4 linked regions of the Saccharomyces cerevisiae S288C genome follow. Changing the gene in region 1 together with any one later gene gives a genetic interaction. Each region holds a gene or a part of one and is shown in the gene's direction. Other genes may lie near its edges. The genes, in order: AVT4, PSA1, VSB1 and GPM3.

The links.
Region 2: mutations in AVT4 (region 1) and PSA1 together harm fitness more than expected from each alone (negative genetic interaction), as found in Saccharomyces cerevisiae (one large-scale study listed by BioGRID).
Region 3: mutations in AVT4 (region 1) and VSB1 together harm fitness more than expected from each alone (negative genetic interaction), as found in Saccharomyces cerevisiae (one large-scale study listed by BioGRID).
Region 4: mutations in AVT4 (region 1) and GPM3 together harm fitness more than expected from each alone (negative genetic interaction), as found in Saccharomyces cerevisiae (one large-scale study listed by BioGRID).

What each region holds. Positions count from the first base shown.
Region 1 is NC_001146.8:428,721-437,640, forward strand, and holds AVT4 (Avt4p), read left to right. Parts: upstream 1-6,278; coding exon 6,279-8,420; downstream 8,421-8,920. Other genes in the region: MET4 (Met4p), read left to right, coding at 1-1,033; DNA-directed DNA polymerase alpha catalytic subunit POL1, read left to right, coding at 1,367-5,773; MIC27 (Mic27p), read left to right, coding at 8,893-8,920. UniProt on the Saccharomyces cerevisiae protein: Involved in amino acid efflux from the vacuole to the cytoplasm. Capable of transporting large neutral amino acids including tyrosine, glutamine, asparagine, isoleucine and leucine.
Region 2 is NC_001136.10:352,652-360,509, reverse strand, and holds PSA1 (mannose-1-phosphate guanylyltransferase), read left to right. Parts: upstream 1-3,750; coding exon 3,751-4,836; downstream 4,837-7,858. Other genes in the region: MCH1 (Mch1p), read left to right, coding at 1-685; transcription factor MBP1, read right to left, coding at 5,132-7,633. UniProt on the Saccharomyces cerevisiae protein: Involved in cell wall synthesis where it is required for glycosylation. Involved in cell cycle progression through cell-size checkpoint.
Region 3 is NC_001139.9:738,235-748,112, forward strand, and holds VSB1 (Vsb1p), read left to right. Parts: upstream 1-4,090; coding exon 4,091-7,201; downstream 7,202-9,878. Other genes in the region: ASN2 (asparagine synthase (glutamine-hydrolyzing) 2), read left to right, coding at 1,710-3,428; YGR126W (uncharacterized protein), read left to right, coding at 7,601-8,293; YGR127W (uncharacterized protein), read left to right, coding at 8,564-9,502; UTP8 (Utp8p), read right to left, coding at 9,716-9,878. UniProt on the Saccharomyces cerevisiae protein: Amino acid transporter involved in vacuolar uptake of basic amino acids for storage during nitrogen replete condititions. May function as an amino acid/proton antiporter.
Region 4 is NC_001147.6:219,492-224,679, forward strand, and holds GPM3 (phosphoglycerate mutase family protein GPM3), read left to right. Parts: upstream 1-3,776; coding exon 3,777-4,688; downstream 4,689-5,188. Other genes in the region: ARG1 (argininosuccinate synthase), read left to right, coding at 1-982; YOL057W (dipeptidyl-peptidase III), read left to right, coding at 1,276-3,411; THI20 (trifunctional hydroxymethylpyrimidine kinase/phosphomethylpyrimidine kinase/thiaminase), read right to left, coding at 4,929-5,188. UniProt on the Saccharomyces cerevisiae protein: Could be non-functional.

The sequences.
Region 1 (8,920 bases):
AGTCGATAGTAACAGCGATAATAACAGCTCCAACAAAGCCCCCAATATAACTGTTCCTGACTATTCAATTATACCAACCTCTGTTTTAGTAACTCTATTACCGAGGGTCAACGTGCCCAACGGCGCATATAACTCGTTGATCAGCGCGGGATTTGACAATGATCAAATAGATGCTATAGCCGCAATAATGGCGTATCATCATCAAAAAAAGATTAGGGAAAATAACAGTAATAATAATAAAAACATCAACACCAATGACAGTCAAGAGGCACCCATTCTAAAAAACATCAACGAACTTTTAAGTGTCTTAATACCACCCTCTCCGGCTGAAACTGCTGCGCCAACTACCTTATCAACGTCGCCTTCGTTCAATGAGCACGGTGTAGTAGCAGAGGCTTCTTTTCTAAGCTCCATTTTGGAACTGGGCATAAAGCATCCAAAAAGTAATAATATTCACAATCAACGACAACCTTCACGAAACGATCATAAAATATCAAGAGAGAGTGACGGTAACAATGGAAACGATAATGTCCATCATAATAACGCTGTTATTAAGTCAAGTACGACGCGTGGAGACGAAATTGCCAAGATACGATCCGAGCCAACTTTAAATGCAAGTTCTTCTGATCACAAGGAAAATAGTTTAAAAAGATCACACTCCGGAGATTTGAAAAATAAAAAAGTACCCGTCGACCGCAAGTATTCTGATAATGAAGACGATGAATATGACGATGCAGATTTACACGGCTTTGAAAAGAAGCAACTGATCAAGAAAGAGTTAGGGGACGACGATGAAGATTTATTGATACAGTCGAAAAAATCTCATCAAAAAAAAAAACTAAAGGAAAAGGAGTTAGAATCATCGATACATGAACTGACCGAAATTGCAGCATCCTTACAAAAACGGATACATACGTTAGAAACGGAAAACAAGCTTTTAAAGAATTTAGTTCTGAGTAGCGGTGAAACGGAAGGAATAAAAAAAGCTGAAAGCTTAAAGAAGCAAATTTTTGAGAAGGTTCAGAAAGAATAAAATAACAGACTATACAGTTTAATTATATATATATATATATATACGTGCATTTTTCTTAAAGAAATATAACTTTTTTCTTGTACTGCCTGCAATCTCTATTCTTCATTCATCACACATCTATTCAAACGCGTTAAAATTTTTTTGTTAGCCTATAAGTAAAACGCGTCGCGTGTATCCAATTTTACTGAATTAAATTCTTTACTCATTGGATGATATATATCTTCTTGGTCTAGACAACGAACACATACCAATTCAGACTCACGAGAAAAAAAACTGTCTTCACTCTGCTATTAGAAACCAAATAGTATCAAGGCATAAAATAAACAGTGGAAAATGTCTTCTAAAAGTGAAAAATTAGAAAAATTGAGAAAGCTGCAAGCCGCTCGAAATGGTACATCCATCGATGATTACGAAGGTGACGAATCAGATGGTGACAGAATATACGACGAAATCGACGAAAAAGAATACAGGGCCAGAAAGCGCCAGGAATTGCTGCATGACGATTTTGTTGTAGATGACGATGGTGTAGGCTACGTCGATCGTGGTGTCGAAGAAGATTGGAGGGAAGTTGATAACAGTTCAAGTGATGAAGACACTGGAAACCTTGCTAGCAAGGATTCTAAAAGGAAGAAGAATATAAAAAGGGAGAAAGACCACCAGATTACAGATATGCTGCGAACTCAACATTCCAAATCAACACTGCTAGCACATGCAAAAAAATCCCAAAAAAAAAGTATCCCCATCGATAATTTTGATGACATTCTTGGTGAGTTTGAATCTGGTGAAGTAGAAAAACCCAATATTTTACTGCCATCCAAATTAAGGGAAAATTTAAATTCTTCGCCGACTAGTGAATTTAAATCGTCAATAAAGAGAGTTAACGGAAACGATGAGTCAAGTCATGATGCCGGTATTTCTAAAAAAGTCAAGATTGATCCAGATTCAAGTACTGATAAATATTTAGAAATCGAATCATCACCGTTAAAATTACAAAGCAGGAAACTGCGCTACGCAAATGATGTACAGGATTTATTGGATGATGTGGAAAATTCCCCAGTAGTAGCCACAAAGAGACAGAATGTACTTCAAGATACGTTACTAGCAAATCCACCATCCGCTCAAAGTTTGGCTGATGAAGAAGATGATGAAGATAGTGATGAAGATATTATTCTGAAAAGAAGAACTATGAGAAGTGTGACAACAACTAGACGCGTGAATATAGACTCAAGAAGTAACCCTTCAACTTCACCGTTTGTCACAGCACCCGGAACGCCAATCGGTATTAAAGGACTAACTCCAAGTAAATCTTTGCAGAGCAACACCGATGTTGCTACACTTGCGGTTAATGTCAAAAAGGAAGATGTGGTAGATCCGGAAACTGATACTTTCCAAATGTTTTGGTTGGATTACTGTGAAGTGAACAACACTTTGATTTTATTTGGTAAGGTTAAACTAAAGGATGATAATTGTGTGTCAGCCATGGTTCAAATCAACGGTCTCTGTAGAGAGCTATTTTTCCTTCCAAGAGAGGGTAAAACACCTACCGATATACACGAGGAAATAATTCCGTTACTGATGGATAAATATGGACTGGATAATATCCGCGCTAAACCTCAAAAAATGAAATATTCGTTTGAGCTTCCTGACATTCCATCTGAAAGTGATTATTTGAAAGTCTTACTTCCATACCAAACACCGAAGTCCAGTCGAGACACCATTCCATCGGATTTATCTAGCGATACCTTTTATCATGTTTTTGGTGGGAATTCCAATATTTTTGAAAGTTTTGTTATTCAAAATAGGATTATGGGACCATGCTGGTTAGATATAAAGGGAGCAGATTTCAATTCAATTCGTAATGCTTCTCACTGTGCGGTTGAAGTTTCGGTAGATAAGCCTCAGAATATCACGCCTACTACAACAAAGACAATGCCTAATCTGAGATGTCTATCTTTATCGATTCAGACGTTAATGAATCCCAAGGAAAATAAGCAAGAGATTGTTTCGATAACGTTATCAGCATATAGAAATATCTCGTTGGATTCACCGATACCTGAAAATATAAAACCAGACGACTTGTGTACTTTAGTAAGGCCGCCTCAGTCAACTAGTTTCCCATTAGGTTTAGCTGCACTGGCAAAACAGAAACTACCCGGTAGAGTCAGGTTGTTCAACAACGAAAAGGCCATGCTATCTTGTTTTTGTGCTATGTTAAAAGTGGAAGACCCAGATGTTATCATAGGCCATCGTTTGCAAAATGTCTACTTAGATGTTTTAGCTCATAGAATGCATGATCTCAACATTCCAACGTTCAGCTCTATTGGCCGTCGTTTAAGAAGGACTTGGCCTGAAAAATTCGGTAGAGGAAATTCGAATATGAACCATTTTTTTATTAGTGACATTTGCTCTGGTAGGCTGATATGTGATATCGCCAATGAAATGGGTCAATCATTAACACCCAAATGTCAAAGTTGGGATCTTTCAGAGATGTATCAAGTTACATGTGAAAAGGAGCATAAGCCGTTAGATATTGATTATCAAAATCCACAATACCAAAATGATGTAAATAGTATGACAATGGCCCTACAAGAGAATATTACTAATTGTATGATTTCTGCTGAGGTGTCTTATAGAATTCAATTATTAACCTTGACTAAACAGTTGACAAATTTGGCTGGTAATGCATGGGCCCAAACGCTAGGCGGTACAAGAGCTGGTAGAAATGAGTATATCTTACTACATGAATTTTCAAGAAATGGTTTTATTGTTCCTGACAAAGAAGGCAATAGAAGTAGAGCTCAGAAACAAAGACAAAATGAAGAAAATGCTGATGCACCAGTTAATTCTAAAAAGGCAAAATATCAGGGTGGTTTAGTTTTTGAACCTGAGAAAGGTCTTCATAAGAATTACGTTTTAGTCATGGACTTTAATTCTTTGTATCCATCTATTATCCAGGAATTTAATATATGTTTTACCACCGTTGATAGAAATAAGGAAGATATCGATGAGTTACCAAGCGTACCTCCTTCAGAGGTGGATCAGGGTGTTTTACCAAGGTTATTAGCTAATCTGGTGGATCGTCGACGTGAAGTTAAGAAGGTGATGAAAACTGAAACTGATCCCCATAAGCGAGTTCAATGTGATATTCGTCAACAAGCTCTAAAATTGACTGCCAATTCTATGTATGGTTGTTTGGGTTATGTTAACAGTAGATTTTACGCAAAGCCGCTCGCCATGTTAGTCACTAATAAGGGTCGTGAGATTTTAATGAATACAAGACAACTAGCTGAAAGTATGAATCTTCTTGTAGTTTATGGTGATACAGATTCGGTCATGATAGATACCGGTTGTGATAATTATGCGGATGCAATTAAAATTGGCTTGGGATTTAAAAGGCTAGTAAATGAGCGCTATAGATTATTGGAGATTGATATTGATAATGTTTTTAAGAAGTTACTATTACATGCCAAGAAAAAGTACGCTGCTTTGACTGTAAATTTGGACAAAAATGGTAATGGAACTACTGTTCTAGAAGTTAAAGGGTTGGACATGAAGCGTCGTGAATTTTGTCCACTTTCGAGGGACGTTTCTATACATGTTTTAAACACCATCCTGTCAGATAAGGACCCAGAAGAAGCATTGCAAGAAGTGTATGATTACTTAGAAGACATCAGAATAAAAGTGGAAACCAATAACATTAGAATTGATAAATATAAGATCAATATGAAGCTTTCAAAAGATCCCAAGGCCTACCCAGGTGGTAAAAACATGCCTGCAGTCCAAGTAGCTCTAAGAATGCGTAAGGCTGGTAGAGTTGTTAAAGCTGGCTCTGTCATCACTTTTGTGATCACAAAGCAGGATGAAATAGACAATGCAGCGGATACGCCGGCTCTTTCTGTGGCTGAACGTGCCCATGCATTGAATGAGGTAATGATTAAAAGTAACAATTTGATACCTGATCCACAATATTATCTCGAGAAACAAATATTCGCGCCGGTAGAAAGGTTGTTAGAAAGAATTGATAGCTTCAACGTGGTGCGTTTGAGTGAAGCGCTTGGTTTAGATAGTAAAAAGTATTTTAGAAGAGAGGGCGGTAATAACAATGGAGAAGATATTAATAATTTGCAACCCTTAGAAACAACAATTACAGACGTTGAAAGGTTTAAGGATACTGTAACATTAGAATTAAGTTGCCCATCATGCGATAAAAGGTTTCCATTTGGTGGTATTGTATCTTCAAATTACTATCGCGTGTCATATAATGGTTTACAGTGCAAGCATTGTGAGCAACTTTTTACTCCTCTTCAATTAACTAGCCAAATAGAGCATTCTATAAGGGCACACATTTCCTTATATTACGCAGGGTGGTTACAGTGTGATGACAGCACATGCGGTATAGTTACAAGACAAGTCTCCGTTTTTGGTAAGCGTTGTTTGAATGACGGCTGCACGGGTGTCATGAGATACAAATACAGTGACAAGCAATTGTACAATCAACTTTTATATTTCGATTCTTTATTCGATTGTGAAAAAAATAAAAAGCAAGAATTGAAGCCAATATATCTACCCGATGATCTCGACTACCCCAAGGAACAGCTGACAGAATCATCTATTAAGGCTTTAACAGAACAAAACAGAGAACTAATGGAAACCGGCCGGAGCGTTGTTCAAAAATATTTGAACGATTGTGGACGTCGCTACGTTGATATGACTAGCATATTTGATTTCATGCTAAATTAGGTAAGTATTTTGTATGTGTTGTGTGATCTCATGAATATTCTATATAGTAAGAAAAGAATACAACTGTACATACGCATCCTACTAGATACCTAATGTACAGACATCGGAAGGAGCGCTAGGAAGCTTTTATTATTGAAGGTTTTCAGCGATATTCTGAGAATGTTTTTTCGGCTCTGGTGATCAGTTCTCACATGCATCATCCTTTAATAAACCCATGCATTAAGATTCGCCTTATCAGCAAGATCAGATAAGCGAACAGCTTCATCAATGAAATAGAATGCTTAAATCTTGTGAAGCACTGTCATAAGCCAGTTTGATAAAAGCAATACCCACAATATAGTTGGATATCATTTACCTTGATCTGCTCTTGCTTTCGAGGTGACATAGCATTTTTAGCCATCTGATTCCTTAGGTTCAAAGGCACTCATCATTCCTCCTCTAAAACACATTTCAACGTCATTCATAATCTGGAATCAACATAACAATATCCTAGAACACATCATCAATGGTCACTAACAATGGAGATGGTGAGCACCTTGGGATCCGAAGAAACGGAAATTTAAGGCATCCTTCCAATAATATGAAAATTCCCAGAAGGGCTCAATCAACAGTTCTCAATTCAAACCCATTTTATAGTAGGAAGTATTCTATGTCTACCTTAACGCCGAGGGATATATGTCGAAGCGTTGATTCTAGAGTATTTGTGGATATGTCTTCTCCCAATTTTCAGACTCTGGAGGATCCCCACAGAGATGAGATTATAAACAGTGTACGGCTTAACTACTTGAACAGTAGCAAAAGAAGTTCCGTCTCTCATGGAAATGAAGCAATCCCTAGGGTTAATCCGACTAAGAATTCTTCAGCAAGTACCATAGCTGCAGCAAATGTTGATAGTGATGACGATGAGACTAACCTGAGTAGCGCTGGAGGCGACATAACGCATGATATTTACAAGTTGGTTAAAGCAGAGGATCCTAAACGGCTCAGACGCCCTCGGTCCATGGAAAATGTAACACCTAAAATTGAGCACCATACTAAATTGTCATCAGCAAGTGGTTTAAATGTCCCCGGTGGCTTCAGAAGGGAATTTATTGTCAACAAAAAAAGGCAAGAACATCAATTAAATGATTCCGCTAGCTCAGACTTCACTTCGCATGAAAGCGATTCGATTAACCAGTCATCTCCATCTTCTAACCAAGATATCGATAAGGTCCCCTTTTTAACAAGAAACTTTTTGGAATTTCTATACGTGTTTGGACATTTTGCTGGTGAATCCTTCGAGGATGATTTTATCCCTGATAGCTCAAACATGATGATACGCGGAGAAGATGAAAGGAGTGCATTGCTGTCTCGGCCTGACCATATGAAAGTATTACCTTCAGCCAAAGGTACGACTTCGACAAAGAAGGTTTTTTTGATATTGCTTAAATCTTTCATTGGAACTGGCGTTTTATTTTTACCTAATGCCTTTCATAATGGTGGTTTGTTTTTCTCAGTAAGTATGCTGGCCTTTTTTGGAATTTATTCATACTGGTGTTACTACATATTGGTGCAGGCCAAATCTTCATGCGGTGTATCCTCCTTTGGTGATATTGGTTTAAAACTGTATGGACCTTGGATGAGAATAATAATTCTTTTCTCCCTAGTAATAACTCAAGTTGGATTCTCTGGAGCTTATATGATATTTACTGCAAAAAATTTACAAGCTTTTCTTGATAACGTATTCCATGTGGGCGTCCTACCTTTATCTTACCTGATGGTCTTTCAAACGATCATTTTTATTCCACTTTCGTTTATTAGAAACATTTCGAAATTGTCACTACCATCTTTACTAGCAAATTTTTTCATCATGGCTGGTTTAGTCATTGTCATTATTTTTACAGCCAAAAGGTTGTTTTTTGACCTGATGGGGACCCCAGCAATGGGTGTCGTCTATGGCTTAAATGCAGACCGTTGGACGCTGTTTATCGGGACGGCAATATTTGCTTTCGAAGGAATCGGGTTAATTATTCCTGTTCAAGACTCAATGAGAAATCCTGAAAAATTTCCTTTAGTACTTGCTTTGGTGATTCTAACGGCAACCATACTTTTCATTTCCATAGCTACATTGGGATATTTGGCATACGGCTCAAATGTTCAAACGGTTATACTGTTGAACTTACCTCAAAGTAACATTTTTGTAAACTTAATCCAGCTGTTCTATTCCATCGCAATTATGTTGTCCACACCTTTGCAGTTGTTTCCAGCTATTAAAATTATTGAAAATAAGTTTTTTCCAAAGTTCACTAAAATATATGTCAAGCACGATGATCTAACAACAAGAGTCGAATTACGTCCTAATTCAGGAAAGCTGAACTGGAAAATTAAATGGCTGAAGAACTTTATTCGTTCTATAATCGTAATCATTGTTGTATCAATTGCTTACTTTGGGTCTGATAATTTAGACAAGTTCGTTTCAGTTATAGGATCCCTCGCCTGTATTCCTTTGGTATATATATACCCATCGATGCTGCATTTACGGGGCAATAGCCTTCCAGAGACTAAAGGGGAATTTTGGAGATTCAAACCAATGTTAGATACCATTTTAATTTTCTTCGGTATTGCAAGCATGCTTTATACGTCTTACCAGAGTATATTCGGTGTCTAGACGATATATGTTGTTGCTTCATAAAGAATTTATTTGGAATCGAGGAACACTATTTTGCCATTGTCGCCATTGACAGCTTGCAGTTGCAAACGTCTTCTTAATTCACTTTATATAAACAAGGACCGCCAGGTCACAGTATTATTCGCACGAAATTATGTAGTAGGTAAAAAACACTAAAAGCATTACCCCTATATTGTTATTTAATGTTCCATCTACGATTAGTAGGTGGTGAGCATGTCTGAATATACACAATTTCATATTTATTATCAAGTTCAAGATTGCCAGAATTTTATTTTTTTTTCCAATCTGCGAATAAGCTTGATCCGATTACTCCGCTTAATGCCCCGACAACCTGAGAACTTTTAAACATATCAAGGAGTAGAGTGGGATTAATGACAATGTGATAGTTTCATAATTAAAGTAAGCAGTCAAAGACAGAAGCAGCACACCATTTACCAATACAGCTTCCAAAATGGTAAATTTTTATGATGACGTGGATG
Region 2 (7,858 bases), on another chromosome or scaffold:
ACGAAGTAATCATGTTCAAGAAAAGTTTACGCAGACGATGCTAAGGATCTTTAGTGATCCTGTGACATATATCCTAGCGGTATCAATTTTGTTATCACTTGGGCCCCTCGAGATGTTTATTGCCAATATGGGATCACTGACTAACCTGCTAGTCCAATTAGATGCGCCAACCTTATCTACAAAGTTGTTATCCACATACGCGCTATCTTCCACTTTTACGAGATTGCTCACAGGCATAGTGGCAGACTTCTTCGCCAAGAAAAAAATATCAATTAAATGGATCCTGTTGACTTTCCTTTCATTAGGGGTATGTGCACAACTGTTTTTATTGAAAATGACCTCTTCAGCGTCACCCTGGGGGCTAGTACCTACAGGATCATTGGTTGGAATTGTATACGGTGGACTTTTCACTGTTTATCCGACGCTGGTCCTGTTAGTATGGGGCGAACGCTCATTCGGGACTGTTTACGGTAGCTTACTAATTGCACCTGCTATAGGTTCTATGATATTTTGCATGTTGTATGCCAAATTTTACGATTCTCGCTGTATGAGTGGCGGAGGAGATCTGCGAAATCCGTCCTGTATTTCGGCTGTCTACAAGTACAGCAGTATCGCATTCGTTGTATCCGCTGTTCTTTCAGCTGTAGTATTTTGGAAATTAAAAAGTAGAAAACTCAGAATTTAAACAAAAAAGAAACTGCTACATTTATTTTTTTTAAAATTCATAGCTTATATAAATGACACCAATAAATTGCACTTATTTCTTTTATGCTATGCTATTGTTTTTGATACCCTTTTAAAGGTACCGGTTAAAAATTGAGAGAAAAAAAGAAAGAACTCCTCATAGGGGGCTCGAACCCCTGACATTTCGGTATCCTTGCTTAAGCAAATGCGCTTAAAAGCCGAACGCTCTACCAACTGAGCTAACAAGGATGAGTTCTTCGGAGAATCCTGGACATAAATTTGTCCATGTTATTTTAAAGTTTTATCAGATTTGCACTGGTCTTTACCGTTCCAACACTTTGTACATGTTGATAATAAGAATAAAATATCATCCATCGACTGCTATTCTTCATATCAATTGTACATTATCATATATGATGTAAGGTGATTGGGAAACAGTCATCAGATCTTATGGAAAATAAAATGTGAAGATTCATAATATGATAGGGTAATGAATGGCAACATATAAACGAATAAGAAAATCCGCTTCTAAAAAGAACGGAATTCACCAAGTATCCCAACATTGACCCATTTCTTATGCTTACATATTGTTATTTTTTGCCCCTGTCTTAGTAGCAGAGCTTTCGTCACATGTTCAACTAAATTCCAAACAGTTGAACTTTTTGTTCTACTGATCTTGTAATTCATGCTTCCTTCTATGCAACACGCCATACTAATTTAGTAGAATGAACAGTAACTGGTGAACGATGACTCTGTAGTAGAATACTATAAAAAGGTGGCATCGTATAAAGGTGCCTTCTTTGACCCTTGGCAGGTAGGGCGGCAACGGCACAATGATATTTTATTTAACAAAAAGATACGCTAACACCGCATCTGAACACGTAATACTACTATATGACTTGGAACAAATGGCTAATCAATAATCACATATGTTCGACCGCTGCAGGAAAAGAGAAAAGAAAGCAGTTTCTACAAGCAAGAACTTGGAAATACAGACAAACCTCCAGTACTTTATTAGGATTGTCCATTCCTCACCCAGATATGTTAAATTCGATACCAATGTGTTTTGATTCACGCGCAGAAAGAAGGACTTTCCCTGCTCTGCTCGGCAAAAACATACACGTTGTCGACCGAGCACGACTGCCGTTGTCGAAGCCACCACTGTCACTTCTCGTTTAATATCTTTAATCGCATCATCTATAGTTCCTAATTCTGCATTCCTAACACTGTAGCCTATCCAGCAAAATCATTCCCATTTTCTCTTTATATGTGCCTAGATTTTAAAATTTTGCTTAAGATGATTTACATTGAGGGGGGAAACTTGCTTTATCCGCTCCTCCAATTGATTCAAGAAGTATGGGCGCTGACCTACCATCTCAATTTCTTGTTTCACTCGAGAATTGTCACTGAGATAGTAAATGTCTAGAGAATCCTTTGCAACAGGAGATTTCAAATTTATATTCTTTGTGTTCGCATTCGCTTCCCGTCTGTTACTCGTTCCCTTACCATTCTATTATGCATTGCAGATCTGCCAAGTAAAAAAAAAAATACCTTGGTGTACACACCACCCATACATTATCTGACAAGGAAACAAAAGTAATGACAGTAAATTGAAGAACTTGTGATGAGCCAAAAAGAAGAATGTGTGCACTTCTTTTCGTATTTTTATGGTAAAGCCAGTTGGTGGCTTTCTTTGACGATATGAAACCCAGGATCCCATGCTGCCTATGTTGCATTTATGTAATTGTCTGTATGAAGCTCGCATTTTAGAGTTACTACTATGTGCTTTCTATGCAGTTGCTTGCCGCAGCCAAGACGTAGAGATTTCTTAGACGTGCTTTTTATTTCTTATGAAAGTAAAGAGTGTGTATACAACGAACTATGTTAATAATTAGTAGTACCAGAACATTGACTTTCGTAAGGACCAAACGGCATCCCTATCTCGGAAGAACACCACATGATGCAAGTTCTCCTGCCTACGAATAGTTCGTCAGGTGCCAGCACTGAGACCACCCAAACTAAAGGCAATCGAAAACTATACCACGTTTATCGTTATGTTTCGGCGGCTCACCTTGTATCAACCTGCTTGGCAAGCTGCTCTGCGAGGCTCCATTTTTTTACATTTTCAAGAGGAGTACATTTCACCTTAAAAAACGGCACGGAGAAAGCCTAAACTTGGTTGCATATACGCAATTACAAATCTTTTATAACTACTTCTGATTCTGTGCACGACGTGCCACCCGGTACAGTTCAAAGGTCACTATACGCACTGTCGATCGAGCCAACCCAACCCACAGAACATCCTAAAGCTTCAAATCGAAACGCGTACAGTCAGCATTCTTCATGCTGCACCCGATCCTTCTTACCGCGTGCTGGGTGAAAAGCAAGACTAAGAGCAAGACCCTTGGATAACGGCACCAAATGGACTACTTTCGTCCTTTCCTGCAACTCTGACTATAGCTTTTTCTATCATTGCCTAAACCAAACCGTCCACGCCACCTCACCAGCAACGCACAGCATGAAGAACGCGAAAACAGAAAAAAAAAACGCCAAAAGAAACGGCCACCGTGTACTTGCTGGCCAGCTAGAAATGCCTCGGGAGCCACCACGTTTATTTTTATCTCAATCTCTGAAAAACTTTTTTTTCTTTGTTTTTGTCGTTTTTCAGCATGAACAGCGCAGCAATAAACAAACAAACAAACAAACAGACGAACAGACACAGAACCACAGCTGACCGGTAGTAAAGTAAGCTGGTGGTTTCTCGCTTTGTTTTCTTTTTTTCCTTGCCTCGTGGCGCTCTTGTAAACATATATATAGTAGACTTTTCACGTCATTGTTAGAAGTTTCACATAGTCTTGTTTTCTTTTCTCCAAAACTGTATTTTTTTTTTCTTTGTCTATCTTGTTCTCACCTCTTTGACTTTGATAACGTTCATCAAGTGTGCAAACTACTTTACATTCGCTAACTCTTTTCTTCTGTCCAAATATTTTGTTGACTATACAAACAAAATATTATCAGCACAAGACAAGCTACAACTTCAACAAATAAAACATATATAATTGAAAAATGAAAGGTTTAATTTTAGTCGGTGGTTACGGTACCAGATTGAGACCTTTAACTTTGACCGTTCCAAAGCCACTGGTTGAATTCGGTAATAGACCAATGATTTTACACCAAATCGAGGCTTTAGCCAACGCTGGTGTTACTGACATCGTTCTTGCTGTTAATTACAGACCAGAAGTCATGGTGGAAACTTTGAAGAAGTACGAAAAGGAATATGGTGTTAACATCACTTTCTCTGTAGAAACTGAACCATTAGGTACTGCAGGTCCATTGAAATTGGCTGAAGATGTTTTGAAGAAGGACAACTCTCCATTTTTCGTCCTAAACTCCGACGTCATTTGCGAATATCCATTCAAGGAATTGGCTGACTTCCACAAAGCTCACGGTGGTAAAGGTACCATTGTTGCTACCAAGGTCGACGAACCTTCTAAATACGGTGTCATTGTCCATGATATAGCTACTCCAAACTTGATTGACAGATTTGTTGAAAAGCCAAAGGAATTTGTTGGTAACAGAATTAACGCCGGTTTGTACATTTTAAACCCAGAAGTCATTGACTTGATTGAAATGAAGCCAACTTCAATTGAAAAGGAAACTTTCCCAATCTTGGTCGAAGAAAAACAACTATATTCCTTCGATTTGGAAGGTTTCTGGATGGATGTTGGTCAACCAAAGGACTTCTTGTCTGGTACCGTTCTTTACTTGAACTCTTTGGCCAAGAGACAACCAAAAAAATTGGCTACAGGTGCCAACATTGTTGGTAATGCCTTGATCGACCCAACCGCTAAGATTTCCTCCACTGCTAAGATTGGCCCAGACGTGGTTATCGGTCCTAATGTCACCATCGGTGATGGTGTTAGAATCACCAGATCTGTTGTTTTGTGCAACTCCACCATCAAGAACCACTCCTTGGTCAAATCTACCATCGTAGGCTGGAACTCTACCGTTGGTCAATGGTGTCGTTTGGAAGGTGTCACTGTCTTGGGTGACGACGTTGAAGTTAAGGACGAAATCTACATCAACGGTGGTAAAGTCTTACCTCATAAGTCTATCTCCGATAATGTTCCAAAGGAAGCTATTATTATGTGAGTTAGGAAAACGAACTGTAATGAATATAATCTATATCACTCATCTGTTTTTGTTAATTTTATTTTAGCCAATATCATTATAAAAAGAGGAAAACATGCACAGAAAAAGCACTGCTTACTGTTATGTCTTAGTTTGTAATTGAAAATGAAAAATAAAAAAAAAAAAGAAAATAAAGAAAAAAAGGTTGATCCTTATGTAACTTTTTATTTACGTAGAAGTTAATAAATATTATCTCATTGTTTTATCTATTTTTCAGTATATGGATACATGTAAAGTTCCTCTATTTATGTATATTTTATGCATGACTATTCGCGTTTGAGATTGTGATGATCTGTTCTGCGCCCTTATTTTTATTATTGTTGGCTATCAATGTCTGTAGTATTACATCCAGCGAACTATCTACTTCTTCAATATTCATTTCCGTACCTTCCCTGATAATCCGTCTATATTTATGAATCTTGGCATTGTCTTCAAATTTCTTCACCAAGGAACTCAATTTGTTTTTCCTTTGTAATTGCAACATCGTTAGTTCTTGAGCCAATTCCAACCTTTCCAGCGTATTATTATCTTTCTCAACTGTGTTATTGGTGGTAGCCTGAGTTTCATCTTCTATTAATTTGTTCAATAAAACCGTTTGCCTGTATTCCAGCTTTTGTTTTATCAACCGTTTGTATCGTATGAGCCTTTTTCTCAATTTCTTAGTATTTTGTTCTTGTAGACGAGATAAAATTTCGAAGTCATCATTAGTCTGAGCTTCGCCGTTTTCATCTTTACTGCTCTCTTTCAATACCTCTAAAGTTTTTAGGCTTACCTGTATTTTCGTCTTAGAAATGCTTTTTAAAGTTTTTTGCAAACTTTTTATTTCGTTGTCATGCTGTTCATGAAGATCGTTGTATATGCTAGCCATTTGCTTCATAGAATTCACTACATTTGGAATATTTCTTGATATATTGGTGGCAATTTGAGATGGATAGGTTATGTAATCCGAAGGAGAAACAGGCGACATGATTACCATTGAATTAACATCATTTTTCGTTTCAATGTTGTTTGTATTAACGTGGATATTCAAGTCCGTGTTTGAAGAATTGACATGTTGATTTGTACCATTTTGTATCATCATTTGCTCATATTGTTGATTCATTATTTCATTGGCGGTTAATCCTTCCTTATTGGAAATAGTAGTTAATGCACCCATTTTGACCAGTGTATTAAAAAAAACAACATCTCCATTTTTAGAAGCAATATGAAGTGCGGTATCGCCATTTTTGTCTTGTGTGTTTAAAAGTAATTCAATTCTATACTGTGGGGAAAAATCCTTGATCTTAGATAGCACAACATCAAGATAATAAACTGCAGAAGGTGTTGTTGATTTTCGTTTCACAATATGGTGAATTACTGTTTGTGATTGCGAATCGATATCAAATACGGTCTCGTGCAGTAGCTGGAAAATTCTAGGGAAAGTTCTTCTAGTGTATGAATTGTGGAATAAGGAACTTCTCATCAATGGAGTTTGGCCTTGAGAATTTGTCGATCTGATACTTGTTCCGGCTTCGTACAACGCCTCAGCAATTGGTAAATTACCCATAGAACAAGCCCAATGGAAGGCAGTATGTAATTCTGGATCGATTGGAGCATCTATATAGGGAGCGCTGTGTGGAGGTGGGTGCAATAACACTTGTGGTAGGGACTTATTTGACTTCATTTCATTGGAAATAAAATAATCAACCAATTTTGAAAGGTATTTGTTAACTTTATCATTAATATCCGATGTTTGAGGCCTTGAAGTTACAGGATAACGCGGGATCATGGAAATAATAGGAGATGTTCCACCACCGGGAAATCGCTCTTCAAATGGATTACTATCGGCAAAATCGCCCGGTGACGTAGGTAATGAAGGAGAGGAAGATACGGACGTGGCCATTGATTCTGTTTGCTGTGTCTGTATCAAGGAAGATTGTTGTTGGGGTACAAATCCAGTATTTTGATTAAAAACTTGTTGTAATTGTTGTGAAGGTTCCACATCGCTTGATAAGCCGTCCTCAAGATCAATTTCTTTGAACTGTGCAGAATTATTTTGTTGCGGCTGCTGCTGTCGAGAATCGTGCCTTTCTTCTTCCAGAATACCCAATGTAGGGGATTGTGGTCCCATGGTGGATCTAATAGAGGGAAGTTGCGTTGTCGATATTGAAGAATTCGGTATCGCCGGTCTAGGAAATCCCATATCACTTTGAGAACGTTGTAAATTGACACCTAACTTCCGCCTACTTCCCCTCGTAGATCCTACCGGTCTACCTCTTTTCCTTGGTGCAGCCGTGGGATTTCCCAATATTTTGCTGCTTTGAAATTGATTTTCCTCGGCTTTCTTGTTGTTTCTTTTTGTTTCCATAATTGCGGAAGTACTTGCACTTCTAATAGCCTTTTTCCTATCCACCTTCGAGGCATGGTGATGTTTTGGAGCAGGAGGTGGAGAAGCAGACCCATCTGTTTGCGTAAAGTCGAACAACGGTTTCAGCTGATCGTAGACACTAAATTTTTCTGCCAGTTGTTTCGCTATGTTCAGTGGGACCCATGTACCCTGATATTTACCAAATCCACCCTGAACTTTTTCATGAGTTTCCTTAAGTACTTCCTTCTCTAGAATCCTTGTTCTTTTAGCCTTGGCAAAATTGGCGGCCTTTAAAATATGTGTAGCATTGACCCAATCATCCTTTTTCCTTTTCATGATAGATCCTGTAGAATGAATGAATTCATAAACATCAACCCCCGAATATCTCGCTGAGTATATTTGGTTAGACATGCTTGTGTTTCTGGGATTTACGTTGTGTCTCGGAATGTTAAGCACGATTTTGCAGACCAATCGCACTTGATATGATGTTTAGTTATATGAATTACAATGGGCTTTATTTTCCGATGGCTCAATCTTGTGCAAGTTATGTTGATTTTGTTTTCTTTTTTTCATTTTTTCATCTGTTGATTATACTAATCGGATGGAAAAACAAAGCAGTAGTAATTTAACAATCTA
Region 3 (9,878 bases), on another chromosome or scaffold:
GTTATTTCTTGCCTCTAAAATTGTTAAAGTTCTGTGTCAAGCTCTATAAGCTGTTTTCGCCAATTTTCTTACCTCATCTGTGAAATTTTTCAGTTTCCCGCCGTCGTTTTTTTCCCTGGTTTAGCGTTTTAACGGAAAAAGAAATACATACATACAATGATTGAAAAAATATTTTCATAAAGAAGAAAATGAGAAGGAACTTTTGAGGACTAGAAGTGTTCCTGATAATTGTCTCAGCCAGAATTTTCAGTGGCCAAGGTACGAACAAGAAACTGCTAAAAGGAAAAAAAATACTCAGAATAACAGAAGATGACAGACAGTATTGTGGAACCCCAACAATTATCTCAAAATTTACCTATTTCTTAAGTATAAACAGTACACTGCATCAGTGGTATTAGATTTGTCATGGTGTAAAATTTTATGATAAAAAAATACAACATGGCGGGCGTAAAATAAAATACATATTCGTAATCCTGGAATATTACGCCAACTACAACCAATAACTTATGATTATATTACCAGAATATTATCATGTATGGCTCTCAAAATATGACATAAATGGTTTCTATTAAAAGCATCATCAATTCAATGAAGCTGAAATTTCAAGGATTGGTGATGTAATAGAACAATGAGCGGCGATATCATAGAACGAAAAAAGAAGTAATCGTCATTTTTTGTAGCACTCTTATTTCCTTTTTTAGAGTTCTAATCCTCAAGGTGAAACCGTAACATATGCATATACTTAACGATACCGCCTTCTTTGAAAATTAGAAGCCTTATATCTATTTCGAACGCACATATGTTGTCATACACAATGCGACACATGAAAATACTACTCTTTACACCTGTATTATCAAACTATTAATCAGTGACTTCCGAAAAAAATAGGTCTCTTGGCCCAGTTGGTTAAGGCACCGTGCTAATAACGCGGGGATCAGCGGTTCGATCCCGCTAGAGACCATTTACTTTTTAGAATGCAAATATAAGATCCCGATAAATCATAGAACCACCACTTACTTATTCACTTATGTGGTCCTTCCTGCTGTGGGCAGAGAGCGATTTGCACGTACAAAGCGATCAAATTACGAACAAAACAATACATAAGAGGTTTGGACACGTTCTTAAGGCTAACTCCACATTGCGATAACAAGATTAAAGTGAGCTCCTGCTCATTCCTAATTGGAACTCATCATGCCTCCCATCAAGGTGGAGCCTGGATTTTACTAAAGAAACCGTTCGAACGGCTCTGTATTTACTAAGAGGGGGATATATCAAATCGTGGAAAACATGAGAGAACAGTCTCGTTGCGTGCAACAGCCGCTATCCTGCTGCTCTCTGCATAACTGGACCTTGCGTATTGGGTTCATTCTTTTGGCTTTGTGAAACGATTCACAAAGCCATACGTCCGTAGTATGGACCCTGCAGGAATGGTCTACATTTTCTATCTACTAGTAAAGCTTTATTCACATATGGGTGCCGCACGGCGCGGGTTTTTGCAAATTTTCTTAGCATTGACTCATGGCAAGATTTCTCCAGAAAATCAGTAAAGCCTCATCCAGCCTCTCTTCTTGAAAAAATTATGACTTTGAATCGCATATTTCAAAGATTTGCCACTTGCTTAGTTTCATTTATTCTAATTTAACTTTTATACTATTTTTTTTGCTTCCCAGTTAAGCTCACCAAAACACAAATACTCACTACAATACAATATGTGTGGTATCTTTGCAGCCTTCAAGCATGAAGATATTCACAACTTCAAACCAAAAGCTCTACAACTATCTAAAAAAATCAGACACCGTGGCCCAGATTGGTCAGGAAATGCCGTTATGAATTCCACCATTTTCGTTCACGAGAGGTTGGCTATTGTTGGTTTAGACTCCGGTGCCCAGCCAATCACTTCAGCTGATGGCGAATATATGCTTGGCGTTAATGGTGAGATCTACAACCACATCCAACTAAGGGAGATGTGCTCTGATTACAAGTTTCAAACTTTCAGTGACTGTGAACCCATCATACCGTTATATTTGGAACATGATATCGATGCTCCAAAATATCTGGACGGTATGTTCGCATTTTGTCTGTATGATTCCAAGAAAGACCGTATTGTCGCTGCAAGAGACCCTATCGGTGTTGTCACTTTATACATGGGGCGTTCTTCTCAGTCTCCAGAGACCGTTTATTTTGCCTCCGAATTAAAATGTCTAACTGACGTTTGTGACAGTATCATTTCGTTCCCTCCTGGTCATGTCTACGATTCTGAAACGGACAAGATTACTCGTTACTTTACCCCAGACTGGTTGGATGAAAAGCGTATCCCATCCACCCCAGTTGACTACCATGCTATCAGACACAGTTTAGAAAAGGCCGTTAGAAAGAGGCTAATGGCTGAAGTTCCATACGGTGTTCTTCTATCCGGTGGGCTGGACTCTTCTTTGATTGCTGCGATTGCTGCTCGTGAAACGGAAAAAGCTAATGCTGATGCTAACGAAGACAACAATGTTGACGAGAAGCAACTTGCAGGTATCGATGACCAAGGCCATCTACACACATCCGGTTGGTCTCGTTTGCATTCGTTTGCGATTGGTCTACCAAATGCACCTGATTTACAAGCGGCTAGAAAAGTCGCCAAATTCATTGGTTCTATCCACCATGAACACACTTTTACATTACAAGAAGGTTTGGATGCTTTGGACGACGTGATCTACCATTTGGAAACTTACGACGTTACCACTATCAGAGCTTCTACACCAATGTTCTTACTATCTAGAAAGATTAAGGCCCAAGGTGTCAAAATGGTTCTTTCTGGTGAAGGCTCGGACGAAATATTCGGTGGCTATCTATATTTCGCACAAGCACCTTCTGCTGCAGAATTTCACACCGAATCTGTGCAACGTGTCAAGAACTTGCATTTGGCAGATTGTTTGAGAGCTAATAAGTCCACGATGGCTTGGGGTCTAGAAGCTCGTGTTCCCTTCTTAGACAAAGACTTTTTGCAGCTATGTATGAACATTGATCCAAATGAAAAGATGATCAAGCCAAAGGAAGGACGTATCGAAAAATACATTTTAAGAAAGGCATTCGACACTACAGATGAACCAGATGTTAAGCCATACCTACCTGAAGAAATCTTATGGAGACAAAAGGAACAATTTTCCGATGGTGTTGGCTACTCATGGATTGACGGCCTAAGAGACACTGCTGAAAGGGCCATTTCTGACGCCATGTTTGCCAATCCAAAGGCTGATTGGGGCGACGATATTCCAACCACCAAAGAAGCTTACTGGTACAGGCTGAAGTTTGATGCTTGGTTTCCTCAAAAGACTGCGGCAGACACTGTCATGAGATGGATTCCAAAGGCCGATTGGGGTTGTGCCGAAGATCCTTCAGGTAGATACGCCAAAATACACGAAAAGCACGTCAGTGCTTAATACGAGCGCAATCGTATTCTTATAATTGACGAGTGAACCAAGAAATGCGGTGATACAAACGGATATTAATCTATATAGATATATGTATATAATAAAAGTTTTCAATCTGCTGACCCCTTAGGTTACTTATCTATAGGATTCGAATTACGATATGAAACCCTTTCGGTAGATATCACATGGAATACTGCAGCCGATTGATTAGTTAATTTCTTATCTCGCTTTTTTTCTCTTTATCTATCTATCTATCTATTTATCTATCTATCCTTATGCTGCAAAATGAAAAATTCCCTAGGAAGTTCGCGCTATCAAGGTTCTTTTTCCCACGTATCGGTCCCTGAGTGGATCCCAAAAAATGTGTGGGACTATGACTATATATATAACAGTCACAGTTGAATCATATTAATGTTCTATTTCTTGAGGTGATTTCAAATTGTGGCTCCAACAAGTAATCTCGGCAAGCTATCCCTTTTTAAATAATATTTTGCATTCTTTTTCTTTTTTTTTTTTTTTTTTTTCCATCTCACAGCCCTTCTTTATTTTTTCAATAAGGTAACAGAGTTGATAAGGAACCAGATAACAATCAAAAAGAATCGTTTCATTTCAGAGCTACCACCGGTCTATAAGCAAGACAGTTTAAAATCTCAAAAATTTAATTTAGAAATATGGGAAGGACTATTAGGAGACGCCGGAGTAATTCGTCGCTTTCGGAGGCCATATCAGTTTCTTTAGGAATAAATCAAGACTCATCTGTGAACAAGATGCATAGAGCGAGTGTTAGCGCAATGTCTCCTCCATTATGCCGTTCATACATGAGCGGATTTTTTACTGGTGGAAACTCACCTATGATCAATAATTTGTCGGATTCAAAACTTCCCATCTCGAACAAACAACATCCTAAAGTGATACATGGATCAGAAAATTTGCATAGGCAGACAGCTCAACTATCCAATGAATTTTGCTCCTCTTCTGTGGAAGAAAATTCTCCCACAATTAAGGATTACATGGACATTATAGGCAATGGTGATAGAAAAGATGATCAATCTATGCGTACTATAGAAGAGAATATTGATGAAGAATATTCAGATGAGTACTCCAGATTGCTACTTAGCCCAGCATCGTCTAACGTGGACGATGACCGAAATCGAGGACTACAGAATAGTTCACTACCGGAATTAGAAGATGGTTACGCGGGCGGATATCAGTCACTTCGTCCCTCCCATAATTTAAGGTTTAGGCCAAGAAACTTGTGGCATATGTGTACGTCATTTCCTTCCAAATTTGCACATTATCTGCCCGCAGCAGTGTTAGGTTTGCTTTTGAACATTTTAGATGCCTTATCTTATGGTATGATCATTTTTCCAATCACAGAGCCAGTTTTTTCTCATTTAGGGCCCACTGGTATATCCATGTTTTATATTTCCACCATAATATCACAAGCCGTGTACTCCGGAGGCTGGTCGAGTTTTCCTTCCGGGATTGGGAGTGAAATGATTGAAATTACTCCGTTTTATCATACAATGGCATTAGCTATAAAAGAGGCATTAGCAGGTAATGATGACGAAATCATAACGACAACGATATTTTGTTATGTGATAAGTTCGATGCTCACAGGTGTCGTTTTCTATGCATTGGGTAAACTACGACTAGGAAAGATAGTGGGATTTTTTCCACGACACATATTGATTGGCTGTATTGGAGGTGTTGGTTATTTCTTGATAATTACAGGAATTGAAGTCACAACGAGGGTGGCGAAATTTGAATATTCATGGCCTTTTTTTTCAGGGCTGTTTACGGATTATGACACATTAGCGAAATGGTTATTACCTGTACTATTGACTGTAGTTTTAATCGGCACTCAACGCTACTTTAAGAACTCACTCGTTTTGCCAAGTTTTTACATCTTGACGTTAGTTTTGTTTCATTTTATTGTTGCGATCATTCCAACATTATCCTTGGATGCTTTGAGACAAGCTGGATGGATTTTTCCTATTGCCAACTCAGATAGTAAATGGTATGACCATTATAGATTATTTAATGTCCATAAAGTTCATTGGTCACTAGTTTTGCAACAAATACCAACGATGATGGCATTGACATTTTTTGGTATCCTACATGTTCCTATAAATGTTCCTGCGTTGGCTATGTCACTACAAATGGATAAGTATGATGTTGACAGAGAATTGATTGCACATGGTTATTCCAACTTTTTTAGTGGATTATTAGGTTCTGTCCAAAATTACTTGGTATATACCAACAGTGTTCTGTTTATTAGGGCGGGCGCTGATTCGCCATTCGCTGGGTTCCTTTTAATAGCTTTGACTATCTGTATTATGATCATTGGACCAGTCATAATATCATTCATTCCAATCTGTATAGTGGGCTCTCTAATTTTCCTACTAGGCTACGAGTTATTAGTGGAAGCGTTGGTCGATACATGGAATAAATTGAATAGATTCGAATATTTGACTGTTGTCATTATTGTTTTCACGATGGGTATCTTTGATTTTGTCCTAGGTATCATCGTTGGCATTTTAATTGCATGTTTTTCGTTTTTGGTGGATAGTACGAAATTACAAACCATTAACGGTGAATATAATGGGAACGTCGCAAGAAGTACAGTATATCGTGATTACGTTCAAACAAAATTTTTGGATGGAATTGGTGAACAAATATATGTTTTAAAGCTCCAAAACCTTCTGTTTTTCGGAACAATCATATCTATTGAAGAGAAAATTGAAAGATTGCTGCAAATAAGTAACAAAGATGCAACAAAACGCAGAATAAAGTATTTAATATTGGACTTTAAAAATATTAATGCCGACAATATTGACTATTCTGCGGCAGAAGGTTTCAATAGAATTAAAAGATTCACGGAAACCAAAAGAATCAAACTAATCATATCTTCAATCAAAGAAAGGGACCGTATTTACAACGCCTTCAATAATGTGGGATTACTAAACGATGTGGAATTATTTGCTGATTTAAACAGTGCGTTGGAATGGTGTGAAAACGAATTCCTTTTTCAATATAAACAATTAAGAAAAAAGGCGAAAGAAAGATTGGAAGAAGGAAAGCAAAATAATGTCGTATCCGCAGTAATTGCAGCCACTAAAAACAAAAAAATTGATACAATAGGAAATGGTTTAAACAGGGGAAGCAATGGAGACACAGCGAGAAACTTAATGTCACTACCAACCAATACTCCTCGTAATTACCAAATACTTTCTGTAGCACAGAATGTATTTGTAAACGACGAACAAGCAGTGAAGAATTTCAAAAAGGAGTACAAAGATGATGAACCTGTCCTGCCTATATTGTTATTTGCATTAAAGCAGTACCGACCCGATATAATATCTGAAGTTCAAAAAGTAAGAGAAAAGGAAATCAAGTTTTGGGCACAACTCTGCCCCTACTTCACCAGGCGCAGATTAGCAAGTCAATCACATTTACTACATGCAGACAACATTTTTTTCCTTGTGGAAACAGGTATGTTGAAGGCAACATATGAACTACCACAAGGAACCTTGTACGAGATTTTTTCAAATGGCACATGCTTCGGAAAAATCATTGCGCCAGGGAATGCTATGCCTAGAGAACAAAAGCTCACCATCGAAACTGAAACTGATTCCGTATTATGGGTTATAGACTCTAGCTCGTTGAACAAATTGAAAGAAGACAATCTAGCATTGTACGTGGAGGTTGCATTAATGGTCATGTGTATCAAGGACACCAGATTCAAAGAATTACTAGGTTACACACTTGTTAGCGCATGAGAGCGTACACGTATATTTATTTAATTTCTTTTATTGCCGGCGTATTGCAAGTAATTTACACCAGTACTAAATAAAAGCAGGATGCTCCTGCATCTGTATAAGTGATGCCGTTGTAGGATTTTTACCATCTCGACTATAAACTTTTTGTACTTGAGTCTTCACTTCCGGAATTTTACTGCGCGATTTTCTTTGATAGGGCCCCTATCGTAGACGAAAAGTGATAATTCCCATCGATGAGCAACTACATACCTCACTTGACTTAATTGCTCTCCTAAAGAAAAAAAATACCGTTACTTTTTTCATTAATATACTACCACAACAATTCACAACGGGTAGTTGTACGGTTAGTTTATATCCGCATTAACAAATCAAAGTCATAACAACGTATCAACGTAGACTATGCCTGTCCCATCTGTTACTGTCACTACCGATAATGAATATGAAGACATATCGTCCTTTTCTTCTATTGACTCTTACAAACCGGAGCCCTTTACTGGGTTCAAAGATTCTGAAGCTCCAGAACAGCCTCTTTTAAAAAACGATACCATTGTTGGAAAGGGGCAACTGGAAGATGATAGTAATGTAGATGATCAACACCGTCATTCAGATGTGCATTCTCATCACAGTTCTAGTACTTTAAAAAGGCCAACTTCAAATTCGATAGAAAAGATGGTTACCCACAATGCTTTAGAGGGCAACTCAGAAACAGTTGATTCCTTAAAAGAAGATGGTTTAAATTTGAACAAGAAAGCTCTTCCGGATATTACCGCCCCAGTAACAAACTCAGCTCACGATGCTGCATTTCCAGAAGAGTATCGTTTAGAAACTGAAACCGGGTTGGTCAAATTGAAGACGCTTGAAAGTTTGAAGAGGGAGGACTCTCGCGTATCCTCAACTAAAAAAGAGCATATTAACGACCATACAGATATGCATTCGACACGATCCAAGGTTACTACAAATTCTCAAGGTTCTTCTCTAGAACCAAACAAGTTGAACATGGCAGTAGAGAAGAATAAGAAGAGGATCGAAAAATATCAAAAACATAAATCAGAAAAGGGGATCAAGGGGTTTTTTCATAGAATTTTCGATTAAGTGGCATAGCAACATTTAGTTCGCAATGCGTTTACTTCAGAATCATTCTTTTTTTTTTTTTTTTTTTTTTTTTGCCTCACATTATATTCTTGGCATCTGCCTAGCTTTCGACTTTTTCGTTCAATTCCTAAAGCGCTAAAAAAATAGTCTCCCCCTGAAAGTGGAGTAGGATAGTAGTATATGAAGTGAGGCAGAAAAGGAAAGAAACGCTTGCATTTATTAACACACCTGTGGCTAAAGTATTAAAAACCAAAAACTAACGAACAAATAATGTGCATTTTAATGGCCACAAGGGCACATCCTGACTATGAACTCATCTTAATATCTAACAGAGACGAATTCTTGGCAAGAAAAACACATGCTACATGCTGGCATAACAATGATTTTATCCTTTCACCCTACGATCTGGCCAAAACCTCAGCAGAAAAACAAATATTTGGCACTTGGTCTGGCATAAATAAAGAAGGAAAATTAGCCACTATTCTTAATTTAAAACTTGACAATGAGCAAAATAATACGAAATCAAGATCCCGTGGTCTGTTACCATTTATATTTTTGTCGATCCATAAAGCAGATTTTGAAGATTGGGATAATTACAAAAAGTTTGAAGGTCACTATGATGGGTTGAAGTCCACAGGTGATTTTAATTTTTTTTACGGCGACGTTATCAAAAAGCAATATAAAGTTATTGATTCTCTAGGAAGAACTTTTGATGTGTTGAGTTCTACCTGTAGGAAAGATCTTGATTCTTACATGGTTGTTTCTAATGGTAAATTTTATGACAGCTCCAGTATACCAGGGCAGGCTTGGGAAAAAGTAAAGGTAGCACGTGATAGTTTAGAAAATCTAGTTTTAGAGAATATTGAATCAGATGAGGAGAAAATAATATCAAGTTGCTTTCAACTCGCCTCGAAGTCTTCCCTTCCAAGCACTATTTCAAACCCAGATGTCTTGCAGATGGTAGATCCAAATGTAACCATGAATACCATATACGTACCACCTTTACGGAGGCCTCCCAGGGATGACTTAGGTGCCTCAATTCCTGATGGTGATTACTACGGAACTCGCTCTCAAATAGTTTTACTCGTGAGTAAGGATTCAACGAGAGTTACCTTTATAGAAAGGGTCCTTTATAGCTCAGATGAAGACGTGCGCAAGTATTCGGTAACCTCACCTAAGGAGGAAAAAAGGTTTAAATTCAAATTGTAAAAATCACAATCTTCCATTTTATTTCAAACTAGCTTTAAATTCCATCTTCTTCCCCTCAGAACATTCCGGTATCTCTTGTTGGACACATCTAATGTATATGATGTTTTCAAATTCTAAATGCCTGTTAGTTTATCAGTAACCACAGTAGACGCTATATATATTAGTTCCTTTTCTATATAGGTATTATACAATACAATCAAATTCATTGCATACTCAAATGTCCAAGTATTCCATGGTGTAAGTGGGTAAGGCTCGCTTCTGAGAAGTTCCGTTATCAAAGGTTGAGCTAGCAAACCCATGCTGAAAACCTTTCGTATCAATCAAATTCCACAATTCGGTATTTCTTTCAGCAATCTCAACTTGTTTGTCAATATAT
Region 4 (5,188 bases), on another chromosome or scaffold:
ACCTGTTATTGCCAAAGCCCAAATTGACGTCGCTAAACAGGAGGGCTGTTTCGCGGTCTCTCATGGTTGTACCGGTAAAGGTAATGATCAAATCAGATTCGAATTGTCATTTTACGCTCTGAAGCCAGACGTTAAGTGTATTACACCATGGAGAATGCCTGAATTTTTCGAAAGATTTGCTGGCAGAAAGGATTTGTTAGACTATGCTGCACAAAAGGGTATTCCCGTCGCCCAAACCAAGGCCAAGCCATGGTCTACTGACGAAAACCAAGCCCACATTTCTTACGAGGCAGGTATCTTGGAAGACCCAGATACCACCCCACCAAAGGACATGTGGAAATTGATCGTCGATCCAATGGATGCTCCGGACCAACCACAAGATTTGACCATTGACTTTGAACGTGGTCTTCCAGTCAAGTTGACCTACACCGACAACAAGACTTCCAAGGAAGTTTCCGTTACCAAGCCTTTGGATGTTTTCTTGGCCGCATCCAACTTAGCAAGGGCCAACGGTGTTGGTAGAATCGATATTGTAGAAGATCGTTACATTAACTTGAAATCCAGAGGTTGTTACGAACAGGCTCCATTGACTGTTTTGAGAAAAGCTCATGTTGATTTGGAAGGTTTGACTTTAGACAAAGAAGTCCGTCAATTGAGAGACTCATTCGTCACACCAAACTACTCCAGATTGATATATAACGGTTCCTACTTCACCCCAGAGTGTGAGTACATCAGATCTATGATCCAACCATCCCAAAATAGCGTTAACGGTACTGTCAGGGTTAGACTGTATAAGGGTAACGTCATCATTCTGGGCAGATCTACAAAGACTGAAAAGTTGTACGATCCGACAGAATCCTCTATGGATGAGTTGACCGGTTTCTTACCTACCGATACCACCGGTTTCATTGCCATCCAGGCCATTAGAATTAAAAAATACGGTGAATCCAAAAAAACCAAAGGTGAAGAGTTGACTTTGTAAGTCCGCTAGTTCATCGCCTCAAGATAGATAACGATCTCTTCCTCCACCTCCTATTTCTGCACACTCTTGTGATGTAAATACATATGTAGACATATGTAAGCTTTTGTATAAATAGTTTAAGAAAGCATCATACCAATTTTGAATAGAAGAAAAAATAGCTAAGAGCATAGCCGCTCGGAATAAGTTGACGTAGCGAAAAATCCCAATATCGTAAAGGAAAAATACCTTCATGAGAACAGAACATTGAAAAGAAGAAAAAAAAAACTGAGCACTGCACCATTAAGTCCTCAAAGATGAGCCACTTTTTCGCCGATCATGATGCTCCTCTGAGCATGCTTTCTGTTAAAACAGAATACTTTCCTCAATTGACTGATAAGGAACAAAAATATGCGCATTTCATGTCAAAGGCCTCCCATGCGGGTTCAAGGGTTGTAATGAGACAAGTTTCTCATGAGAGTGAGCCAATTTTTGACCTAATCCTTGCCATTCATTCAAAGCTAAACGGCAAGTACCCAGAGGACGATATTACGCAGAAGCAGCAAACGGGTTTGTATTTGGAATACGTTTCTCAATTCTTATCTAATTTGGGTAATTTCAAATCGTTTGGTGACACTAAGTTTATTCCTCGTTGTGAGGTAAAATTCTTCAAACAGCTTTTGGAGCTGGCCAAGATTAATCCGTGTTCTTCTCCGCTCACTTTATCTCCTGTTGACGTTAACCATGAATTCACATCTCATCATCTTTTTTCCACCATCAATGAGCTAATTGATATTGGTATTTACCATGTGGAAGAGAAGGCGGCTCTCTTAGGGTTTCCCTCTCAAGGTTATACTTCAGCCTATTATCTGGGTTTACCTGTGACACCTGAAGATATGGCTCTTTTGAAAGAGCAGTTGTTTGCTGAACTTGCCATCTTGCCTGAAAACACAAGAATCAACAAAGTTGGTGAAAACAGTTTCCAAATCTGGGTTGCCTCTGAGAATGTGAAAAACCAGATAACAGAAACCTACCCCAGTGGACAGATCACATTATCCAATGCTGTAACCAAAGTAGAATTCATTTTTGGTGATCATTCACGTGAAATGCGTTTAGTAGCATCGTATTTAAAGGAAGCTCAAAAATTCGCGGCTAATGATACTCAAAAAGCAATGCTTCAGGAATACATCAACCACTTTGTCACTGGCTCTTCTCAAGCACATAAAGAAGCACAAAAACTTTGGGTCAAAGATATATCTCCCGTCATTGAAACAAATATCGGTTTTATCGAAACATATAGAGAACCCTCGGGCATAATTGGAGAATTTGAATCGTTGGTTGCAATTCAAAACAAAGAACGTACTGCTAAATTTTCCAGCTTGGTTAACAACGCAGAAGAATTCATTTCCTTACTACCATGGTCTAAAGATTACGAAAAACCGATTTTCAATCCACCAGATTTCACCTCTCTAGAAGTATTAACGTTTACTGGATCGGGTATACCAGCGGGCATCAATATTCCAAACTATGATGATGTTCGGCTTAAAATTGGGTTCAAGAATGTTTCTTTGGGGAATATCTTAAGCGCGGCTGCCAAAAGCTCATCCAAGCATCCGCCAAGTTTTATATCGCAAGAAGATCGCCCAATTTTTGAAAAATATCAAAGTGATTCTTTTGAAGTCCAAGTAGGCATCCATGAATTATTAGGACATGGTTCAGGAAAGTTGTTGACAGAATTTACAGACGGCTTTAATTTTGATAAGGAAAACCCTCCTTTAGGTTTGGATGGGAAACCGGTGAGCACATACTACAAAGTTGGTGAAACTTGGGGTTCCAAATTTGGACAGTTAGCTGGCCCATTTGAAGAATGTCGTGCGGAAGTAATTGCCATGTTTTTGCTTACTAATAAGAAGATTCTTGATATTTTTGGTTTCCATGATGTCGAATCTCAAGATAAAGTGATCTACGCTGGATATCTACAAATGGCCCGTGCGGGTCTCCTAGCTTTAGAATACTGGAATCCAAAAACTGGTAAGTGGGGACAACCACACATGCAAGCAAGATTTTCTATCATGAAAACATTTATGAAGCACTCTACAGATAAGAATTTCTTAAAGTTGGAGATGAACAGCACGAATGATGATTTTGCCATCAAGTTGGATAAATCTCTCATTAAAACAGCGGGACATGAATGTGTGAAAGACTATTTAAAGCATTTGCATGTTTACAAATGTTCAGGCGATGTGGAACAGGGAAGTAAGTACTTTATTGATAGATCAACGGTGACACCGGATTTGGCGTCTTTAAGAGACATCGTCTTATCTAAGAGATTGCCAAGGAGACAATTCATACAATCGAATTCTTATATTGACGACAATAACAAGGTAACCCTGAAAGAATATGATGAAACCCCACAGGGTATGCTCCAATCTTTCCTTGATAGAGAATTATGATGTCCTTAAGAGCACACGTTTTAATTAGCAACCTTTGCTGTTGCTTTTGTTCAAGCTATTAGATTATGTAAACAGATATATATTATGTAAGTGTGACAGGATACGACAGCACTAACTGTCAGCGAATTTTGATTTGTTACTTTTGCTAGTTTTGTGTGACTTTCCTTTGTTTTTTAACTTTTTTTTTCAGATTTGTATTATGAGATGATAACAATGCGAGATTTCATTGACAAGTTCGATAAAACAATAGAAGCTTCCATTTTATACATATGTGATAAAACAACCTGCAATCGAGGATTTACAATAAAAGTCTCTTTGAGAGGATTGAGAAATAGTGCAAAAAGATCTACTAATAACGAATAGTTATGACTGTTACTGACACTTTTAAACTGTTTATTTTAAGGCATGGTCAAAGTGAATTAAACTCAGAAAACATATTCTGCGGATGGATTGATGCTCAATTAACGGAAAAAGGGAAGTCTCAGGCCCGCCACTCTGCAAAATTGATCAAGCAGTTTTGCGATTCTAACAATATCTCTTTGCCTCAGATTGGCTATACTTCAAGGTTGATTCGAACTCAGCAGACCATGGACGTTATTCTCGAAGAGTTGGGACTAAAACACACCAATTATGTAATTACTACGAATACAAACATTAAGGAGGAGCTGCAGGACACAAGATTTGAAGGAAGTATGCCTGTGTTGCAAACCTGGAGGTTAAATGAGCGTCATTACGGCGCATGGCAAGGACAAAGAAAGCCAGATATCTTGAAAGAATACGGTAAGGAAAAATACATGTATATCAGAAGAGATTACAACGGAAAACCCCCTAAAGTCAACCTAAACCTGGAAATGGTCCAAGAGGAAAATGATCAGGGGTCCTCCACAGGCTATGATTTTAAGGAGCCCAATAGACACTTAAAATACGGCCCCGAAGAGAAGGCTAATGAGCGTCTGCCAGAAAGTGAGTCTCTTTGTGAAGTGGTCGTCAGATTGAAACCATTTTTAAATAATGTTGTTCTGTCTACCGCCAACAAAATCAGTCAAGAATCGTGTGTTATAGTTGGGCATGGCAGCTCTGTAAGATCTCTGCTGAAAGTATTGGAAGGTATCTCAGATGAAGACATCAAAGATGTCGATATTCCCAACGGCATTCCGCTAGTTATAGAGTTGGATAGAGACAATTACTCTTTTGTGAGGAAATTTTACTTGGATCCAGAATCAGCTAAAGTTAATGCTCAAATGGTTCGTGATGAGGGTTTCGAAAAGAATCCATGAATAGTTTTTAAAAATAAAAAATTAGCGCCATTTTTTTCATGGTTTCCTTTTATATTTCCTTCTTTCTTTATTGATAGAATAATGAGTAACGAAAAGCAGCTAAATAAACGTGTTTAAATTTCTATAAGAAGTTTTTATAGATTGTATAACAAAGAAACTTTTTTCTTATTATTATTTTTTTGTTTTTATAATTCATTATATGTAGGTATATCTTTATCTATTGTGCATAAGCCATCTTATCTACTCGTATTCTAGCGCAGCGGTCCAAAAATTTGTTTCTAATTCACAAACTTCAGCGTAGATTGTTACTAAAGTGTCAAGTTGCTCTGGAGGGTATGTTTCTAAGATGTGGTTCAAAAGTTTTTCACCTTCATCCATGGCTTCACGATACCATGAAGATGCGTAAGTTTCACACCATTCGTGGTAAACGGACCCTTCAGGTGCGGTGACTTTACCCTTCATTTTAGTTAAAGCTTCACCATAACCCATCAAACAAGGAG